3 linked regions of the Drosophila melanogaster genome follow. The protein of the gene in region 3 interacts with the protein of the main gene of each other region in a pairwise test. Each region holds a gene or a part of one and is shown on either strand. Other genes may lie near its edges.

What was found.
Region 1: the proteins of fand (region 3) and Cyt-c1L interact in a two-hybrid assay, tested with the Drosophila melanogaster proteins (one large-scale study listed by BioGRID).
Region 2: the proteins of fand (region 3) and THADA interact in a two-hybrid assay, tested with the Drosophila melanogaster proteins (one large-scale study listed by BioGRID).

What each region holds. Positions count from the first base shown.
Region 1 is NT_033777.3:29,199,580-29,206,932, forward strand, and holds Cyt-c1L (cytochrome c1-like), read right to left. Parts: upstream 4,555-7,353; 5' UTR 4,448-4,554; intron 4,267-4,447; 5' UTR 4,157-4,266; coding exon 3,122-4,156; 3' UTR 3,081-3,121; downstream 1-3,080. Other genes in the region: CG11899 (uncharacterized protein), read left to right, coding at 942-986, 1,072-1,748, 1,805-2,177; Mesh1 (metazoan SpoT homolog-1), read right to left, coding at 2,213-2,329, 2,391-2,735, 2,803-2,880.
Region 2 is NC_004354.4:19,861,846-19,869,207, forward strand, and holds the start of THADA (THADA), read right to left. Parts: upstream 3,680-7,362; 5' UTR 3,614-3,679; coding exon 3,505-3,613; intron 3,418-3,504; coding exon 3,240-3,417; coding exon of another isoform or gene 3,235-3,239; intron 3,165-3,234; coding exon 2,883-3,164; intron 2,818-2,882; exon of another isoform or gene 2,814-2,817; coding exon 1,981-2,813; intron 1,914-1,980; coding exon 1-1,913. Other genes in the region: Hers (histone gene-specific epigenetic repressor in late S phase), read left to right, coding at 6,565-7,362. UniProt on the Drosophila melanogaster protein: Together with methyltransferase Trm7-32, methylates the 2'-O-ribose of nucleotides at position 32 of the anticodon loop of substrate tRNAs. Plays a key role in energy homeostasis by regulating the balance between energy storage and heat production.
Region 3 is NT_033778.4:13,590,348-13,597,709, reverse strand, and holds fand (fandango), read right to left. Parts: upstream 4,067-7,362; 5' UTR 3,985-4,066; coding exon 3,940-3,984; intron 3,882-3,939; coding exon 1,851-3,881; intron 1,788-1,850; coding exon 1,212-1,787; 3' UTR 1,153-1,211; downstream 1-1,152. Other genes in the region: S-Lap5 (Sperm-Leucylaminopeptidase 5), read right to left, coding at 1-888; CG45088 (uncharacterized protein), read left to right, coding at 5,938-6,003; CG6191 (uncharacterized protein), read left to right, coding at 6,266-7,110. UniProt on the Drosophila melanogaster protein: Subunit of the NTC(Nineteen)/Prp19 complex, which is part of the spliceosome. The complex participates in spliceosome assembly, its remodeling and is required for efficient spliceosome activation. Essential for efficient pre-mRNA splicing.

The sequences.
Region 1 (7,353 bases), on a different chromosome or scaffold from region 3:
CTAAGCACCTTTCAGGCTGGCTGTGCTATAAAGTAATTAGACGGCCAACGAATTTGACCAAGACATAGGCCAAGATAAGTATTCGTAGCATAGGTCTAAAGCACTTCTGATTGATTGCCCTTACAACAATAGGAAGCGGATAAGGATAAGGAATCGGTTTGCAGATATGACCAGGCGTGCAAAAGAGTTCGCGGAATTGCTAATCGGCAGACGGTTTGTTTTGCTTGAAATTTACTACCAATTATGGTAGCCAACTTACTTAAGCCTTAGTTAAATATATAATGCCTAATATTGGTTATACTCTACAGATAATTCAATAAAAAGCTATGAAATCATAAACTCACTGTCGCATGCATCGAAGCTCCACTGTACATTGCACTTACACATTTCGCTTGCAGCTTGTTTACTCGCCTGCGAACTCAGTCGCTCGCTTGTTATTGTCATTCCAGCGAAAAGTGCATGGCAACCCACGCTGGCTTGGGGGCGGGGCACACACACGATGAAGTGGGGGGGTTACTGGGAAGCACTTTGTTTTCGTGCGTTGCACATATGTACATATGTATGTATGTACGTACATATGTAATTATATACGTTAGCCGACTTGTTTTGATCGAATTCGCCGTACCGCCGCCTGCCTTTGTCTGGCTTTATGGACTCCACAGGAGCGCAGCCCAAAATGGGGGGCTTGGAGTCGAACACCCTCCCGGTGGAGAATCCGTCCCTGGAGCAACCGAGTTCGTTGTCCAGTCGGGCGAATTTGAGTCTGGTTTTCCGCACGCGTTTTGTTTACTGTCCGGTGACTTGTTGCTGTTCTCTGTGCCCGCCTTCGTCTCGTTTATCAGCGATTGCGAATACTCGCACGGACTGCTCAACACTTTAGTCAATATTTAGCCGCTTCCCGGAGAGGTTCATAGATCGCAGACGCACTACATAGTATCAGCATGGTTATCAACTTCGCCGCCGGTCCAGCCAAGTTGCCCGAAGAGGTCGGTGAAATGGGTGGCACCACTCCACACACGTGACGTGTAATAGTAACCTTGATTACATGGTTATCTCTATCTGCATATATAGGTACTGAAAGAGGTGCAGGAAAATCTTGTCAACTGCAATGGCAGCGGCATCTCGGTCATGGAGATGTCCCATCGCTCCAGCAACTATGCCAAGATCCATGATGCGACCATCAGCGATCTTCGCGAACTCCTCAATGTGCCCAGTAACTACAAGATTCTGCTGATGCAGGGCGGTGGCACCGGACAGTTCGCTGCAGTGGCTCTGAACTTGATTGGCAAGACTGGCACTGCTGATTATGTAATCACCGGCTCCTGGTCGGCCAAGGCGGCCAAGGAGGCGGCTCAGTACGGCACTGTGAACGCGGTGCTGCCCAAGTTGGCAAAGTATACAACTGTTCCACGACAGGAGACCTGGAAGCTGGACCCAAATGCCTCATATGTCTACTACTGCGACAATGAGACCGTAGAGGGCGTGGAGTTCGACTTTGTGCCCGAGGTTCCAGCCGGTGTGCCACTGGTGGCCGATATGTCCTCCAATTTTCTGTCGCGTCCCTTCGATGTCTCCAAGTTTGGCGTTATCTATGCGGGAGCCCAGAAGAATATCGGACCAGCGGGCACCACGGTGATCATTGTCAGGGACGATTTGATAGGCAAGCACTTGAAGATTACGCCCTCCATCCTCAACTTTGAGCAGATGGACAAGAACAACTCCCTGTTAAATACTCCGCCGACCTTTGGGTGAGCCCAGAATGATACATGGCTGGTGAATTCTTTGTTAAACTTTCCCCTTGCAGCATCTATGTGATGGGCCTGGTTTTCAAGTGGATCAAGCGGAACGGAGGAGTCGCTGGTATGGCCAAGCTGGCGGCAGCCAAGTCCAAGTTGATTTACGACACGATCAACCAGTCGAATGGTTTCTACTACTGCCCAGTGGATGTCAATGTGCGTTCGCGCATGAATGTGCCCTTCCGTATTGGCAGTGCCAGTGGAGATGATGCCCTGGAGAAGGAGTTCCTGAGCAAAGCCGAGGCCGAGGGCATGATTCAGTTGAAGGGTCATCGGTCGGTGGGCGGCATTCGAGCCTCCCTCTACAATGCTGTAACGCTGGCGGAGACCCAACAGTTGGCCAATCTGATGCTGGCCTTTTACAAGAACAATAAAAATTGAACAGGTTCATCTGTAATTTGTTGGTTTTTGATCGTTTACAAAAGGCCGCGTTGGCGGAAGATCTCGTCCAGCTTGAGCTCCAGGTTGGCGTTGGTTCCTCGCAGATTGTCCACCACCTTTTTGGCCCAAACGAAGTACTGATCACGACGCTCCTGGAATGAAAATATGTGATCCATAAGGTTCCGTTTTTCAAACCAAGATGGGCCCAAATACCTGTGTCCACCCTGTCGGTGTGTTGACTTGCAGATCCCTTAGGTTATCCAATTTGTCAGCCAGCTTTATGAGCTTTGCTCTGCAGCTGCTTTTGGCTGCATTTTCTATTTGCAGGCGTTTTCTCTCCTGTTTCTCCAGGGACTTGTCGTCCGTCACCTCCCTCACTAGTCCACAAACATCCGGTCCAAAGAGTTTCTCAACATCCTCGAAAGATGCGTCCGTATCCTCCACGACATCGTGCAGAAGTGCAGCCATTAGGACTCCCTCATCTGTGATGCAGGCCTCCACGGAGAGAATAGTGCTCACATTGATCACATGGTTCACATAGGGGGTTTCCTGAGGATCCTTGAAATGTAAAAAAGATAGTATTCATGTTTTAAATATATCATTTGTTGCGTTTTAATAAGCTTACCTTGCGACGTTGCTGCCGGTGCTTAAAAGCTGCATATTGGAGGCACTCCATGAATTTGGCAGATGGATATGTGGCCATTGTTGTAAGAAATAATTAAATGAACGGGCCTTTAGTTCAAATTTAAAGTCTAAACCTTATTTTTTGCATTTATTTACATTTTTAACATAACAGCTGACTTAACAGACCGGCAAGAATCTATAACAGAGCAATTGTTGGTGCTTTACAGCGCGGATGGTTAGGCCCTGGAAAACCTATCGATAAATAAAAAGCGCGGCATTCATTTAAATTCAAAAACCTTTATTTAAACAGTTCACCAAACTTAGTCCTTCTTCTCGTTCTGGTTCTCGCACTTGTTGCACTCCTGCTCCTTGGCCTTGCGCGCTGCTTTGGCGGCCTCCTCCGCCTCTCTTTTGGCCTGGGCCTCCAGTTCGGGAATGAAGAAGATCTTGCGAGACTTGAGCGTTGACCACTTAAAACGCTTGATGTAGTAGGAAATGCCAATCAAAAAGGTCGAAATCAGAGTAACTTTGATGAGCAGCAGGCGACGTTCGTCGGTCTCCGGTTCTGAAGTCCACTTGAGGAAGACGCACACATCCTTGGCAATTTGGGCGGCCGAAGCAGGCACATTTGGATCTTCAAAGGAGACCACCTCATTGTCAACTACCTTGCCCATGGCAATCGCTCCGCCCGAGAAGTACGGATTGAAGTACAGTCCATCACGAAGGGCAAAACCAGCCGGAGGATCACAGTATCCGGTGAGCAGGGAGAACACGTAATCCTCGCCGCCCTTGCGAGCCGACACAATATAGCTGAGATCCGGCGGATAGGAGCCATTGTTGGCGGAACGGGCCGCCTCCTCGTTGGCGTACGGAGAGGGGAAGTGATCGGACAGCTTGCCGGGACGCTCGTAGTACTCGCCCTCCTCGTTGGGCCCATCCCGCACCGTGATGGCCTCCGCCTCGGCCTTGGCCTCCGCCTCCGTCATGCACACTCCCACCAGGTTGCGATAGGCCATGTACTGCAATGAGTGGCAGGAGGAGCAGACCTCCTTGTAAACGGTGTAACCTCGACGCACGCTCTCCTTGTCCAAGGCGGACAAAAGCCCTTTGTGATTCCAGTGCTGGTGGGCCGGATGCACGCAGTCCGAGGAGGCATCCACGCTGGTTTCCAGGGCGTAGATCAGCAGCCCTGCTGTTCCGGTTAGGGCTCCCAGGGCTCCCAGCAGCTTGCGATTTCCAGTAAAGCCGCTTCCACGACCCGGAAAACTTATCCGCGGACGCACCGATGTCCGCTGGATGCCGCTCATGGCCAGCTGGAAAAGTTTGCTGTTCAGACTCCTGAATTTGTTGGCCATTTTCGGTCGGATTCAGCTTTATCTCTCAAAACGATTTATTTACAATGTCAACGCAACCAGTGTTGGAAAGCTCTGTCGACTGGGGTTGTCACCACTTGGGGAAATATGTTCTGTCGAAATGAAATCACGTGTGTTGCGGTAAGTTAATATTTTAATTATTATATATTAATTTAAATATAACACCATCACATGCAAAATTACGGATCAAGTGAATGGCTTAAATGCAGTAATAACAATATACATTATCAATTGAAAGATTAACACTTAGGAATCTATCTTTACTGTACTCACCTATGGCAAAATATTAGACTTCCTCCTTTGATGGCAAAAAATCGTCATTGCGAAGAAAATATGTAATTGTTTGGAAATATTGAAATGTGTAAAAGTATAAGCTTTTTCACAACAATTTTTTAATGACATTTCACACAAAGCCGGCAAGAGCAACCTTTACCTACTAATTAAGATACATATCGATCGAAATGCACTTAAAAGCTCTGCTAAACTATTTGGAAAACATCTAAGCCCCTCTCCCTTGTGTAAGCAGTATTAAAAAAGTTAGTTTCTGGAACTACAGAGAAGGCAGGATGCTTAGAAATCCCAGCACAGACTTTCTTCCACATCAAGCCCAGCTTAGCCAGATTCTTATCGGTGATCTTTCTCCATAAAGCATATGTAAACCAAAACCCACCCAAAGTGCTGTTATTCTTCACAGCTAAAAGGTTGAATCAACGTTTTTCTCTATTGTTGTAACGATCGCCTCCTTCTGGGTTTCTTTCCTGTCCAACCAGCGGAGCAACTTAAAAATACAAAAAAAAAAGCAAATGCCAGGGCACTTTCATTTGTTATCTGGCTCAGTAATCTGTAAATCGGTAACAGCCCACCAAACAACGGTGCATACAATATTTCCTAGCCATTCTTCACACTGTGTGACCACGAAATCGTCAAAGTCAGGCCCAAGCCAGCTTTTACAACAGCCAAGGAGTAGGGGCGTCGGCTTACCGCAATTTTAGGGGGGCTCAGAATGTGGGCAAGGTAGTAATGAAGCAACCAATAATTGTCATAAAGCTGCTTTACTACCCTTCAAATTAATCAGAACCCACTAAACTCCATTACAATGCTTGGATTGTAAGCTTAGAGGTGATAGTTCCATAAAGGGGAACCCCCTTTTCGACGCCTATGGCAACCAATAATGACAATGCACTGTCGACGTCGACAGAGCGATGTAAACTCTATTTTTTTTTTTTTGTTTTTGGTGAAAATTTGTACCTGATTTTATATTTCCCTTTTTTGTTACACTCTTTTTGTAGCTGTTGGTCTGGTTTTCTTGTTTTTTTTTTTTTCAGTTATTACGTATTTCCATGTTTACCATATTTTACACGCGCTTACAGGCACACAGATACAGATACTTCCACGGATACAGATGCAGATACATTTACCCCCGGATTTTCCCTATGTGCGTTTTTAGAGTTCTGCTTCTGCGCAGCGATGCATAATTCCCACTTTTGAAATTTGTGTGCGGTTGTTGTTGTTGTTGTTGTTTTCCTCTGCGGTGGTGGCTAAATGTTGTTGTTGTTGTTGTTCCCGTTGCCGCTGCGCAATTAATAATTCTTTTCGACTGGCGTGAAATTTTCATAAGCAAGAAAAAGCAGCAGCAACCGCACCAACTTTCCATGAAAATCTCCGGCCATTAGTAGCAATCGCAACGCTTTTCACCGTGGAAAACCGCAGAGATTGTGCTGCGACCCCATAGAAATGGGCTCACGTCATGAATTTTATTCAAATTACAAACTCATTAATAAATGGCGTTGTTTACATTTAAGTAGAAAACAAAGCGGGCATGATTGTCCAATTTCTAGATGATTATATACTATGGTTAGGAAAATCTATCACGGAATATATGATATAAAGAAATGCAGTGGTATTGTGATTAATTGGAATCTGCATATTTCTCCACTTAACAGCGAAGGATGTGTTGCAATCCTTTTTTCCCAAATTGCTCGTATTTATCAAAGGAGTAACTGCACTGAAGTGGTCTAAAATATGCAATTGACTTCGGGGTAAACACAAAGACCGGACTATGTCCAAATCAGATATAAAATGCAAGAGATATGACTTATCAACTGAATAATTATTCGTGAAAAAGATGGGCCTGCAAATAAAAATACCCGAGTACGGCACAAAAAAGTGTGCATAATTTAGCAATAAATGTAAATATTACTGGTCAGCTTCCTTTGGGAGCCAAAGCGCCATGCTGCTGCAGTTTCCTGTCCTCCTCTCCAGAGCAAGATGATGATTCCGTCATCATTATCATTTGCAACATCATCATCAGCAGCACCACCGTCATCATACGCCAGAGGAACGTAATAACGATGAGGCTGTGTGCTGGCCATGTCCCACTCCTTATCTTGGCAGCACGAAAACCAGAAACAAGAATTATAGACCAAAAGCCAGTTGCAATGCGAGCGCATCTTGCATCTTTGCCACCGATCCCCAGTACGTAGGTGTGTGTGTGTTAGTGCCAGTGCGAGTGCGGGGGCACTGCATCGGTGGGTATCTGTGTGAGCAGCGCCTTTGGCCACAAGTGAATGCATCCCAGCACCAAGTTGCATCTGCTGCACTCGCAGTGCTGGACAACGCTAGAAGAAAATCAAAGCAGCTCTTTTGAGATACAAAGCGGAAACCATTAATTTGGCCAGTTTACTTCATTTGGTTACGTCCACACAAAAGAAAGAATCGCTATTAGCAATTACACCTTTAGGCATGCTTATAAATATATGATTTCCAATTGATTTGTATTTATAAACTGCATTGCTTAAACTGAACTACAAAGCATCTCTCTCTCTTTAATAAAAACCAGCTTTCATTTAATATTCAACACAGAAGGCATACCCAAACTTTTTGCTCATAATAAACATCTTTCTTTTATGACGTATCTGAAAGATCGTTTTAACGCGTGCGCAGCTACCGTTGAAGGCGCTGGAAAATCGCATGCGAGAAATGAACTTTCAGTTCGCTCTCTTTGGCGCTCTCTTTCGATTTCGTATCTTTCGGATTCTCGTTCTCGCTGCTCATTTATCGCTCAATTTCGCAAAGACAACAACAGCAAAATCGCTATGCTCCCCTATATACAACGACATCACGATTTACGCGCATGTATGGGTGCAATGTATCTGTGTGTGCGTCAATTGCGAGTGTGA
Region 2 (7,362 bases), on a different chromosome or scaffold from region 3:
TCCGTCGAGGGCGCACTGAATGCCGCGGGCCATGAACTCGGTGACCAGCTCGGCCAGTTCGCTGCTGCGGAAGAGGGCGCGCATGATGTTGAGGGCGTGGCTGCGGGCGGTGATACCAGCGGCTCCACCTGTCCGGCGCTCACACACCTCGAGCAGGCGGTTCATGCAGCGATAGAGAGTGGCATGGGTGCCCAGCTTGAGCTCCGTGCCGACCAGCGCCTGCAGCATGAAGGGCATTCCGGCACTGCGGCGCGTAGCGCACAGGCGGGCACCCTTGCCTGCCCACTCCTCCTGGCCGCTGACCATCGCCATGGCCTCGTCGACCCACTGGCCGGGCAGCTGGTTGAGACGCACCGACTCGCTGTGCCAGAAGCGGCGGCACAGCATCGTGAATCCCACGTAGGCCTGCTCGAAGGCGCCGCGATGCTTCGTCTCGGCCAGCAGTTGCAGGAAATGCTCCCCGATGGCCTCCAGCTGAGCACGGCTGAGCAGGAAGTCGCCCTGCTGCTGCTGCTGCTCCTCATCCTCCTCCTCCTCCAGTGGTGCGCGCTGGACAAGCTCGCCCAGGATGAGGCACACCTCCTTGCTGCTGCGCCAAGCGCACAGCAGTATCATCTGGGGCGTCGTGCGCACCTGCAGCAGTTCCTCGCGGCTCAACTGACGGTCGAGCACGTTGGTCAGCGGCTGATCCGTCTCCTGGTCGCAGGTTTCGGGCAGGTGGCCTTCGGGGGAAGCGCTGCTGACCACAGGCAGCACTACGCTGCTGACTGCCAGGCACATGGTCACTAGCTCGTCTATGTACTGCCTCCACTGAGGCTCTTTCGCCAGTTCCTTGAGTTTGAGTTGCTGCAGCAGATGCCGGCTGGCAAAAAGCAGGCCGTACAAAGGGTTCAGCTTGGCCGCCTCGCCAAGATCAAGCTGGGCGAGACGCAGGCCCTCCCTCAAGTGCTGCAGGCACCACTGCAATGCCCTGAAGGTAAGCGGCTCGTGGATTGTGCCACCGTGCGTTGGCGTGGGCATCTCGCTTTGCACTCGACTGGCTTTGCAATAGACCTGCAGCTGGAAGGCTCCGGTGGCGGAGTCCGATGGCCTGAGGGAGAGCAGCAGCTCGATCATCTCATCCGGCTTGAAGAGGGAATGGGATTGAAATCGCTCCAGCAGCTGAGCGGCCAGCACTTTGTTGTGCTCGTAGCTGTCGCCCAAGCAGGCCATCAGTGCCTCTGTGGGCAGCTCTATTCCCAACTCGCTGAACGTTATGCCCACCATCTCGCTTAACTCCAGGCAATCGCGCAGCAAGCGCAGCGAAAGCCAGCGTCGTCCGTAGTTCGCCGTGGGAAACAGATTCTGCGCGAGAGTGCGGATAAGCCGTATTAGGAACTGGAGCACCTCCTGCGACGCCGGCGTGCGGCTCTTCCGGTACTCGACCAGGCCGAAATGGACTCTCTTGAGGGCCTTCTGCAGCAGACCGTAGCCTAGCTGCCGCAGATGGGCGCTAGGATTGTTGGCATTGTGCCGCACGTAAAGTTCAATGGCGCCCATTTGGTCGGCATTTAAAAGTTCGCTGGGACGCGGCGTCTCCACCAGAAATCGCAGCGCCAGTAGGCGCGTGTGGTCGTCCAGTCCGATGAGGGCCTGTTCCACCTCCTCTTTCATGCCACGCAACAGATTCTGCCGCCTGGCGCTGAGTTGCCTCACGCCCAGAATCGCCGCCAGCTTGCAGCTAAGCGGCAGCCGGTCGTCTGGCAGGAGCACTTGCGCCAGTCTCGTTGGCTCCAGCTGTACGGCCTGTGCGATCAGCTCCTCAATGACCTGGCGGCGCTTCTCCGGCACGCGGATTGCCGCCAAAAGCAGACCGAACCACCGGCTCTGCCACTCGGCGAAGGGTTCCGTCTTGTGGGCCGATACCATCATGGCTAATAAGTATAATAACAAAAGGAATAAGTACACGATTCGAGGCTGCATTCAATGAAGGATACTTGCCTTTGAACAGGGCATCCACACAATCCTCACAGCCCAGATGGCGCGGGAATATGACTCCGAACAGCGAAGGACAGTTCTCGATGGACTTGCTGACTCCGGCCACCGCAACCAGCTGCTCCAGTGCCATGCAACTGGCATTTAGGTATGCAGCACGATCTTCAAACTGGCGATAGACGACTTGGAAGAGCTCCTCCTGGCCGGCGGCCTGGGCGTGCTGCAGCACCTGGTGCAGCAGGGCGCTGCTCATGTGGCGCACGGAGTCCGTGTCACTGGAGATATTCTGCAGGGCGAACACCTGCAGCTGTGCCAAGATCCGTTGGTATAGCAACTTCTGGTCGTCAGGAAGATGGGCGTGCATCTCGCCCAGCGATTTGGAGTAAATGAACAGATGCTTGGAAAGGAAGACAAGCAGATTGGTCACGGTGCTTTTCAGCTCGCTGACGGCCACGATCCTCTTCAGAATAGCCAGTGCTAGTGTAGCGTTTTCTGTATAATCGACGGGCCGCAGGACGAGCAGGGCGGCCATCTGTATGGGAACATCCTGCTCTGCCTTTGGCCTCGAGCAGTCTTCGACATACGCCTTGAATGTTCCGGAAAACCGAGCCAGGTGACCGATCAGCAGGGCGGCAATGGAGCGTACGTCCCACGGAGTGTCGTAGTAGCGAGCCACCTTTTGGGCCACCGCATTCGACGTGCCCGGAAACCGCTGATCCTCGAACAGGCGCAACTTGTCGCTCCACTCGGCCAGCAGACTAACCAAGAACCGCAGCGCATTCTGCACGTACAAGTAGAGCTCGTTGCGACGCGTTGGCGAGAGTTCCAGCGTAGGGTCACTGTCTTAAAGCAAGGTAATTGTGGAGTCAGCATTGTGCGCAGCTATCATATACATTAGATTGACGCACCAAATGTCCGCCCAGTAGCGCTCCAAGGCGGTAGTTAGCAGCGGCGCAAAGCGATGCACCTGTTTGCCCAGGGCCTCCCGTCCAAAGGGAAAGTTCTGCAGGCAGGCGTTGGCGGACACGAAGACATCGTTGGTGCGCTCGTGGCTGACAGGCGGCGTGATCACTGCGAGACTGTTGGCCATTTCGCCGAGCGACTGCTGCAGAGCCTCCAGCAGGTGCTCCTTCGAGTGCCTGCGATGTGGCGACGCATTCTGTTTGGCCAGCGCATTGTCCGAGAAGAGTCTAAATGGGATTGATCATCGGCTATAGGACATCCAGTTGGATCGTGTGGCTTGAGTCGCCGTGGGCTCACCGTACTTGGTCAGCTGGTTGCGCACGGCGTGCTTCAGGGGACTGGCCAGCAGGAGATCCGCCAGGAAGTGGGCTACATCTTCATGATCTTGCGCCTGCTCCCCGTAAAAGACATCCTTGACCACCTGCACCTGCTCCGCACTGCTCTTGGCCGCCGCGAACTGGAGCACAAAGTCATGTGGCGCTGGAAAATGGAGAAGCGATTGGAGCCTCAGCATGCATGTTTATACATAGCTTACTGGTGGTCACTAAGTGACCCACCACAACCCACCGGCAATCCACGTGTTGGGCAGTGGCACAAGGGCGTCGCGCAGCTCGGCAAATCTCTTGGGGTGAGCACACACCTTCAAGGCGGCCACGCGCAGGTTCAGATCGTTCATGGTTCTGTCAGGATTGCGGATAAATAGTAAATATCAGATGGTTTAAATCAGCCACTTTGGTGTTGTCAGTAGAGCTGTGAGCAATTCGATTTCAAAATCGATCTAATCGATATTTTCAGATGGGCGAAGAAATCGATAACATTACTAGGAAATCGATGCTATGTCTATCTATCTTTATAAGGTGACAAATCTAATCTTAAAGTAATATTCCTCAATTAAATTAATCACATTTGTACTGCCCCCTACGTACCAGTGGATTATAAATAATCTATGAAAACATATTGATCTTACAAAATATATTAACATTGCATTTTTTTAGATAACAAAAATTCTAAGCATAAGAGCTGCCTCTTAATTTTTAAGCTGATTAATTGATTTAAGGCCGTTTTTTTCGACTTAATCGATCTTTTTTAGAATCGAAAAGAATCGATTCCCAAGCGGTAATATTGTTTACGACATTAGTTGCCACCTTTACTTATTTACTTACTTTACTTTGTGGAACTAAGTTCCACATCTGGGATGCCAAACACTCACGCTTAGCAAGTACTTGCTCCTCTGCTAACCCAGTGCGCCCATAAATTCTGTGCTGCCACCTTTTCTTCTATCGGAGATACGCGCCGCGACAAGAGTTGCCATCCGCTCTCCTTGCCCGTTACACACAGCACCAACAAAACTTGATACGTATCTATCGATAGTATCGCATGGAAATAGGTCCTAGTTCCACCTCTAATGTGCATTGGGTTATTTATTTTTTTTCCTGTGATTTGTTTATTGAGTGAGCCCTGTACGATGCGATTTTTATGTGCGAATAGTAAATATTTCGGCCCACGGTGCCATCCGATTCAGATGGAAAACACAATTGGTTTCCAATAGGAAAAGTTTGCATCATGTTTTCGTATGCCAAACGCTCGACGTGTGCGTGTGCGTGCGTATGTATTTGTTGGGTGTAAGGTGCATTTGTGTGTGTACGTGAGAGGGGGAGGATTCGTAAAAGTGTTTTTCCTCGTTTTCTCGTAACCTATCTTAAAACAAGCATGTAACATAACTTGCGAAAGCCCGAAAAGCATCTATGAAAATTCGGAGAAATCCACCTGGCTTGGCCGTTTTGCCTGTGTAGTGTGTTTTGTGTGGGAGCGCCAGAGTAAAAGAGAGGGAGTGAGAGTGAGAGGGAGCGAGCGAGAGAGAGGCTTTTTTTTGTTGATACACCGTGAGTGCATGTGTATGTGTGTGTGCGCCTCTTTATTTGTGACGAAATGTGTATAAAATGTTTATGTTTATGTTTTTTCCCGCCCCTCCCGCCACCCACTCACACACGCACACTTCTATGCAAATAGGCGCCGCACAAGTTTGAAGTGAAACGCGATCGGCAAAAACAATAAATCTCACCACAAAGTGGAGCAGCACCCACAAATAAATAAAAACATAAATAAAAGTGCGCCCGCCCGAAAGTAGGAGAACAACAAACGGCTTAGGAAGCATCGCGAAACGTCATTAAAGGTCGGCAGATGGGCGGCCTACGGATTTTCGTGCCCTCCGCTGGCCATTCTCCTCGTGCTTGCTGCTGTTGTTGTTGTTGTTGCGGCTCCCAGAGCAGTTGCAGTTGTTGTAGTTGTTGTTGCTGTTGCACTAGCTGCAGCGGACCAACGGCCACAGCGCAGTGAGAGCGAGCGGGACGGCAAGCGAGCGCCACTGAAGGTGCGAGCGAGAGGTGAGTGACTTTGGCTTTCTAACGGTGGCATCTCCCCCCCCCCCATCAAACGTAACAATAAGAGCGACCGAAAAGGGAAAAGGAAGAGGAAGAGGGAGGAAGACTGGGCTTAGTGGGTGGGAATACAGTAATCACTCGCTTATAGTGATAATATAATTCCGAATTCAATTAACCCGCTACCAGCTAATATCTTTTGTGTGATTTTCTGAATACAGATCTTTTAAAATGTTTTCATAGGTACGAGTTTTTTAAATAATTCCACGCTTCGGAACAATGAAAAATGTTTAACTTTCCTTTTATCCGTTACGAATTTTTCAATGAATATTTCTAGTATGTCATTCTTTTAAGTCCTTAAGAATATAATTTGGTTTAGCTTTGCATCGAATTTATTTATTTATATTTTAAGATAAAGCAAATTTTAAGAAATAGCAAACATTTAAATTGGAGAATGCATTTTAATGAGTTTAGTGAGTTTTTTATGAGTCCTGTAAAATAAAACAATTTGAAATAAATACTTTTTGTAATTGCATACTTATTACTCCTTCAAAACAATTGATTAAATAATAGAATTTCGCGATGTGCAATATGATGTGCATAGTAATTTTTGTAATTATGATTATATATATATATTATTATATTATATATATTATATTTTTATATTATATTTTTATATTATATTTTTATATTATATTTTTATATTATATTATATATATTATATGTCGCATAATTGCGTATCGAAAGCTTTTCAAACATTGTAAATGCGTTTACATATGTACAATATATAGGTTAGTAGTTTGAAGGTTAGTAAAGGTCAAATCTAAATTGTTCTGCATTTCAGTTAAAACCTTCTAGGTCCAGCCGATTATCTTTAAGTCGAGTAAATAAATCCAAATCGATATAAAACAATTCATTCTTTTATTTGAAAATAAGAACAGCAAGTGATGGGTACTCTAAATACTCCATGTTCCAACCGACAGTTTCGAGTTGAGATGCATTCTCTGGCACTCCGCCTCCATTTTCATTTCGTAGCTGGCGTTCCCATTGTTTGTCACGTGCGGCCACTTCAGCTGAATTACAAGGAACCGAACTGAAATGTACCACGGAGCAGAAAGGATGGGGGGGGGGGGGGCAAACGAAAGTGAATGTGTAGGAGGCAGGCCCTTGTTTCTTGGTCTCTTCTCGAAATACTTCATTTATTAACCTCCCTCGTTTACCGCTCCTCTTTCCCGCACAGCCCCACGAAATGGTCTCGAAGAAGCGCTCCAATGCCGCCGAGCGTGTCCAGCGTTCGACGGCGACTGCGGCAGCGGCGGCAGCAGCAGCTGCCGCAGCAGCGACGGCGTCCTCGACGCAGGGCAAGAAGCGGCCCGGGAAACAGACGAAGGCCTCCGGTGGCGGCGGCGACGAGGCGGATGACAAGAAGTCAGCCAGCAAAACAGATTCGGCGGCCAAGAAGCCGGCCAAGGATCCAACGGGATCATCGGGCGTGTCCACAGCCACCACTGAGGGTGGTGCTGGAAATGGAGGCGGAAAACAAACGACCTCCACCACGACATCATCCACATCCTCGACAACCGCCCCGTCCGCATCTGCATCTGCATCTGCTTCCAACAGCCTTAAATTGTCGCCGGAGGAACGACACGAGGATGGCAAGGCGCGGGCCATTAACAAGATGCTTAAGAGCCTGGATATCAAGATCCACGGCTTCGACAACCTGCTGCCTAGCGGCGAAGAGCGGCTCAACGACGGCGTGCTGAAGTCCTCCATTTCGGAGAATGTCAAGACCAAGTCGCGCGCAGCGGCGGTCAAGGTGATTTCCAGCCTGAATCCCGGCAAGATGCCGCCTGTAAAGCGAGTGCGTCCCTCACCGGAGCCAGTTAGAGAAAAAGTTGCGGAGAAGCCGGCAGAAAAGGTACTCGATAAGGAGAAACCGAAGGCGGAGCAGCAGATCACGCCGCCTCCCGCTCCAGAGGAGTCTCCTGCCTCAAAGGTGCCCAAGAAGACGGTGCAGCAGGCCAAGAAGGCCAAGGTGGAGTCATCA
Region 3 (7,362 bases):
TGTGCCGCAGTAGCTGACCTCCAGGACCACCGGTGGCTCGCAGCTGCCTTTGGCTATCATTAGAAACGAATTGAGATGATTCATTTCTATCCAATCCATGGATCGCACCTCCACGGAAACGCCGCACGGACACAGGGCATCCACCGCCGATTGGGCGAATATGGTGGGGGTCATCTGATTAGCCGGCGAATCGCTCAATCTTCGAGCCAAGTTCTGAGATTCCGCCTTGAAGAGACCCCTCGTCCAGGCATCCACATCCGGTGAGTCGTACAGATCCAGTTTGGGTACCTGAGTGCGATCCTGCTTGCGCTTGTTGCTATTGTAACGCCAGATGGCCAGAGCACTGCCCTCCGCCGCCTGCTCCGGATATTCCATGGAGTCCACAAAGACTTCCGTGCAACCCTGCAGTTGCAATGCCCGAGCTCCGACGCCAGCGGCAACGCGGGCATTCTCCATACCCTCGTCGATATTCTCCAGGTCATTGAAGCCGGCACCTTCTTGGCCCAAACCCACCACAGCCACTGCCCGGAATTCGGCATCCACGTTCATGAAGACCTTACCCTTGCCCAGTTCCCCCTTGATTCCAGTTTCGCGCAACAGCTCCGAGACCTTGCCCTGAGTTCGGTCGTCGAACTTCTCGCCGCTGGACGTCATCTTGACCTCCTTACCGTCGCCCTCCTTGGAGTAGACGCCCACCACCACGCCCTTGATAACAGTCTTGTTGTCACACTTGTCTGCTAATCCCCTCCAGATTTGAGAATCCGCTGGCTGAAGTCTGTGGTTAAAAAGTGGTGTTCCAAACAGATTGTACGATTTCCAGGGTGCCGTGACCTGTTGATATAATCTTGGATTGCGCGTAAAAGCACTGATCATGCGTGTGGATGCCATCTTCGAGATACACGGTGTGTGGTTAGTCCTGGTTAGTCCGCCCTTGCGCACGTCTGGTTAGCTTTTTTAGATCACGAAGTGCCTAACAATTTTGGAATGACAGTTGAAAGTGTGTTCCTCTGTTTGGCCTAAGGCTATACTAACTAGATCATCCAAAACGGAGACAATATCTAACAGGCCCCCTTCGTTTGACAACAATTAATATCAAAGTACCATTTAAGAATCTAATTGAGGCCAGAACATAAAAACCGATCAATTACAATTGTAAAACTTTCGACATACATGTATTTACCCCGAAAAAAGTCATATATATGTATAAACATTTACTCTCCATCAGAGTCGCCTTGATTTGAGGGCTTGAGGCTGCCGAAGACCTTGGCTGGAATGGCCTTTTGTTCGAAGCGCAGTTTCTTCATGACCAGGCCTTCCTCGTCGGTTTTCGTGACCGCTGCACTGGCCTGATTCTCGTTCGTCATCTCGTTCTCCTCATCGTCGTCCTCCTCCTCATCGTCCTCGTCGCTGTCTCCAATGTCGATCTCATCAGGATTGACGACCGTATCCTTTTTATCCTTAGCACCACCCTGAGTCTCACCGCGCACAAACATAATATTCGAGGCCGCCTTCTCGATGGGCTTCTGTTTGGACTCGGCTGCCGCCTGGCGAGCTTTCTCCTCCAGCAATCGCATGGCATCCGGTCCAGCTCCTGCTCCAGCATCCGCAGCCGCTCCGTTGTTTGTGCTCAGGAATTGGGCGGCCATCATGTTCACCTGCGTATTGTAAGTGGCCTGCACAGAGCGCTTGATGCGCAGCATTTCGCGCATTGTGTCTTCGTTGCCGTGACGCACTTCGAACTCCTTCCAAGTTTGCCAAAAGTCTGCAGTGATGCGGGGATCACAAACCTGAAGAATGCAAACAATAATTAGATTAAGTGATGCATTAGAAATCTATATATATTATCATACCTGTGAGCAATGAGCATAGATGGCTCTAGCTCGATCCACTTCGCCCAACTTCGTTTCCAACTCAGCAAACTTAACGCACATGTGGCGCATATTCTGCTCGGGCAGCGATTCGATGGCCTTCTCATAGATCTCGCGGGTACGTGGCAGGCCATAGATCTCGGCTGCCTTCTTTATAAATATGTTGTACATGTCGAACATCTCATCTTCTTTGACAGCAGACGTGGCACGATCATAGACCGACATGGCATGCCGGGCGAGACCGTGCTCCTCTTCCAACTTAGCATACAGTAAATAAAAGTACTTAGCATGCTCGGGAGGACACTGATCCAGGCACTGTTCGAAGAGATCTCTGGCTCGCTCCAGTTTTGTGCCGCCATAGCGCTCCAAAAATTTGGTTAGATAAGAGTTCCAAATGTCGTAGACATTGGGCCACTTGAACAGAGAGATGCCCTTCTCATAGGCTCGGTAGGCTTCCTCAAAGTAGTTGTGCTCCTCGAGGAACATTCCGTAATTGATAATGATCTGTGGCGTACAGATTTTCAGATCAATAATCCGCTCGTAGACGGCTTTGCACGTCTTGAATGTGCCGAATGACTCCTCCAAATCCGCGTACATGGACCACACTTTTAGCGAGCGATGAAGGCGCGCCTGCACCGTTTCCGTATCATCATAATAGGCAATCTTTCGCTTTGGCATGGCCGTCGCCCTTTGCATCAGCTTGAGTGCCGCCTCGAACTGCTGTTGCCGTAACTCCATCTCTGCCCATTCGCACCACACCGCCGCCAGATCCTCTACTTTAACATACTCAACCTCAGTGCCGCGTTCGAAGACCACACGAGCATCCTCCACCTGTCCGTTGGCCTCGTAGAACTTGGCGAACTCCACCCAGAGAGTGTGTAGTTTGCCGACCGCCTGCTTCGGCTGCACTGTTTGCACGGCCTCGGTGTACGTACTGATGATCTCGGCGGGCTTGTCCTCGTACAGTGTCACCCGCTTGTGCCACTCGTGCACGTTGTGCGGATTCTGGCGCAGAAGCACACTATTCAACAGCAGCAAACGGCGCTCCATGAGGTATTCGAAGCGTGAGAGCCGCAGTTCAACGTCAATGTCGTCCTCCTCGGTGGCCGCCTCATTGGCAGCTACCTGCTCCATACGTCTGTTCAGCGAGAGTTCCTCGAACTGTGCGTATTCATCAAAGACTTGGGTGAAGTCTCTTACGGTGGTCACAGTTTGAATGGCTTCCTCGTATATATCTCTTGCCCGATCAAATAAGCCGGAACGCACATAGTAATCCGCCAGAGAGTTCCACAGGTGGCCCAGCTGATCGGTGTAGCGACGCAGCCCACCGCGAATGATGGCGTCCACGTTCAAGGAGTGCACCTTGTGTGGATTCTTCGAGATGAGGTCGCACAATTCGTTCCACAGCTGATGATTGGACTTGCCGTGTTTGGAAACGAAGTGCTCGTTGTCGACGATGTGCGCCAGCTGCTGGGCAGCTTCGTCCAGCCGATCTGCTTCCTGTAGGTAGTCCACATATTCCTCTGTGTCCTCGGGAAAGAGTTTCAGATATCGACGGTAGACTCGCAGTGCTGTTTCCGGCATTTCAAAGCGGCGTACAAACTGCAAATACAGTGGCCAAATCCTGCCGTGCTGCGTGATGGGCAGAGCCCTTAGAGCCCGATCGAAAACGTGCCGGGTGCGGGTAATCTTGCATTGCGAGGTCATGAAGGCACCGTAGTCCATCCAGATACGTGGCATTTTGTGCATAAACACCAGTGCACGTTCGAAGGCACTGTTGACCTCCTCGTACATGGGATCCGTGGGTATCTTGCCGCGCACCTGCTTCCTGCGAGTTCTCAGGTAATTGTGCCAGATCTTATAGCTGCCAGGAAGCTCTTTCAGAGCACGCTCATAGACCATGTTAACACCATTATTCGGCGCCTTCGCTTTGTGATCAATGTAGCGCAGCCAATGTTTTACGGAGTAGGCGTTTCGAAGGATTTCCTCCTCATACGGCACATCCTCCACTTCCTGTGTGTGAAAAACTTGATAGGTTAGTTGTGATTTACATATATTTCATGGTACTTACGAAATTGATCTCTAAATTCAGAGATTTTATCGTTTTTGTCACCATTTTTCGCGATTTTCATGAAATGCCGCAAACAATAATTTTCTCATGCGCGTCCCACGAAAACAGCTGATCGAAATGGCGTTGCCAGAAGGTTTGAAAAGTAGTGGTATTAAGATACCGCAGCTAATACCAAAGTAATTAAATCCTAATTAACATGTAAACAATATTTTAAGAATACAGAAAAATTGTTCATAAAACTAAGATAACTTTGGCTTGTGTACATTTTTTTTACAAATTGTGAACATCTAGAATTTTCTAAGTGCACCTTATTTAAACGTTGAAGTTATGGACAAACCAAAACAATCGTGAATTTTCTAGAGTACCATTGCGGTATATTTTGCCTCCCTTTGAATTGGTATTTCGCCCTTCGTCCGCTGCCCAACACTGGCCTCAGTTTGTGAATTTTTCGTAAGCCCATCTGCAGATGTTTTCGTCGCTGCTGCCAATATTTTGACGTTCATACCGTTTGCGTATTTCGCAGAGACCAGTTAACGCGCTCGTAAAATCGCAAAAAACACACTTAACGCGATCGTTTGTTCTGTTTTTGTAAACACATTGCAATTGGCCTGCATTTTGCATAATTTACGCAACGAAGGCAACTGCGTGAGTGCACCAACACACACACACACACACACAGCCGTGCAAAAGAGAGCCAAAGAGAGTGAGGAGCGCAGGCGAGTTGGCAGCCAAAGGCAAAAAATCAAAGTCTATCGAAAAAAACACTATAAAAATAGATCAAAATGACGCGCTTGAAACATTTCTCAGCATAGAACGACTATCAATCGAATTAAGTTTTAAGTAATACCCAACGACCGTGGAAAAACCAAGCACAGTGGTAAGTAAAAGACGAGGGGAAAACACGAAAAAACACGTCACACGTGTGCGTGTGCTTGCAAGTGTGTGTGTGCGAGCGTGTGAGTGGGTGGGTGTCATAAATATTTTCGCACACACTTGTTCCTGCATTGATTTTATATTTTTCGCACAGGCTCAAACTTGTGTGTGCCGCCGCACTCCAATTGGTCCAGGTAAATCCAATTAGACTGGATCCTAGGTAAAAAAAAACCACCACCGGAAAATCTATTTCCCCGCTTCCCGAACAGCTGTTTATGATGGTTCTCAAAAATTTTCCACTCGCTCTTGTTGCCCGAGGGAAAATTTTGGGCATTTTAGGGCCTCCCGTATTGAATGTAAACAGAAAACACACACGAAAGTGCGGAAAAGCGCTTAGATTTTCCTTGCCGGCTGTGGCCCAATATCTCTCTCTTTGCCACCCCCTCTCTTCGCACTGTTGCCACCCACTAAACTGACACACTAAGCCGCCCGCCAGCAACAACAGCAACAACAAAGGCGGCTAAAACCACTGCAGCTTTGAGCCGCATGCAGCTTTTTTAACTGCCAGCGGAAAAGCTTTATCAATTCAGTTGGCTAAAATCCCAGCAAAGATTCGGGTTTATTTCAAGGAAAACTTTTAATTCTTAAAATTAAAAATGCCCGTTGTTTTCAAATGAGATTTTTTAAAATGATTATTATGTCTAAAAATTGTAAATAATCTAAAAGAGTTGAAAAAACCATAGCATATTCACTTAAAAATAGCTTAAAAACATTGCTAATTATAAAATATCATATTGAGATGACTTCTGCTAACAATATTATATCATATTCAATATTTTGCCCACTGAGAATGAGAATGTGCTGACCACAATTTCCCCTAAGCCACCCACTGCACTTCAACGAATATTCCAGAAACGCTCGGAGAAAGCTTCTCTTGGCCAAAAGCAGCTTTCCTGCCGCTTTTTATAGTCTCATTTATTGATTCCATTCCTCTCTTCTGTTCTTATTTCTACTTGCAGCCAAAGCAACGCATCGACGCATAAACGCTAGTTAATAATAAAAGTGCATAAAATTATTCGTATTCCAACCATCTTCCGTCATCTAAAGTGCTAAAAATTCGTCACCATGTCGCGTTCAAGTAGTTTGTTTTTTAATTCGGCTGCCAAGTTAGAGACTAAAAAACTTAATTGATTCGATCAAGAAAAGTGAGCAACCAGCAGTGAAAATACACAACAGCAGCATAATCACTTTCGAAACCAGTTTTTTCGTAAAGAATCGCGAAGAGTGTTCCAGAAAAGTGCAACATCACATTCCCACACAGTATATGCACACACACACAAACACACTATATATACATATAGGTACATATATAGCAACATCGGAGCATCCAGGGAAACGACCCACAGCACCCACTTCGGTTAATCTCGCTTGGTAATTAAGGGTTCATCGCCTAATGGCAAGTTCGCTCAACAAGACGAGACACAGGCGCAGACTGGCTGCGATCTCGTTCCTATCGAATATCTCGTTAGATGGCACCCATCGGGACACCAAATTCGGCGCAACATTCGGCAGCAGCCTGCTCTGCAACCAGAATAAGAACCCATCCTCGCTGGGACTCGGCTCGGGGGGCTTTCATCCGCACTATCAGCAGCACCACCATCAGCGCAGCCACTCGGCGACGCACCACAACCACCAGAAGCGGCATCACACGCAGCAGCAGCAGCAACAGCAACAACAGCAACACACCCAACAGCAGCAGCAGCAGCAGCAACATCAGCAGCAGCATCAGCAGCAGCAGCAACACCAGAATGGCGCCCTCTGTTCGCCGCTCCTCTGCAGCGCCGATGTCCACATGGGCATCGATGGCGGCATCGGGCTGGGATTGGGACTGGAGGACTGCACCACCGGTGCCAGCGATGGGGACGGGCATTTTAGTGAAACTGAAAATATGGGTCAATACCTGATGAACGTCCTGCCGGCCGCCGATCACAATCGCAGCAGCATTGTGCCGGCCGAGAGACGCAACATAAAGCGCCCGACCTCGTCGGGTCGTCATAACCACCAGGCACCGGGCAATGGCAATATGGGCAATAAGCTCCAACAGCAGCAGCAGCAGCAGCACAAGTTGCAGCAGCAACAGCGGCAGGCACGAAGTTGCGCCGCCGGCAGCGGAGGATCGGGTGCCGAGAGTGGCAGCGATTCGGACAGCGTCAAGATACCGCTCAAGGTGTCCAATCTGGGCAGCGGCGGTGGCGTGGCCGGCGGAGCGGGCAGCAAGCTATTGCCGCTGAGGGAACGGTGAGTAATCAATGCACAATTCATGTTTGTCATATCAGTGAACTATCTTAGCTTATTATGGTTTCTAATCAGCATTTTGTTAAGCAGTTGCTAGAAGTTGTAATCAAATTAGCTGTATGAAGAGGCAACTGTAAAGATTCTTACCATAAGTTTATATAATATTATAAATGTTATATTAGATCGACTATAAGGGAACCTACCAAAATATTCAAACAGGAAATGTGTTAAGTTATTGCAGCTTCAAATTTATGT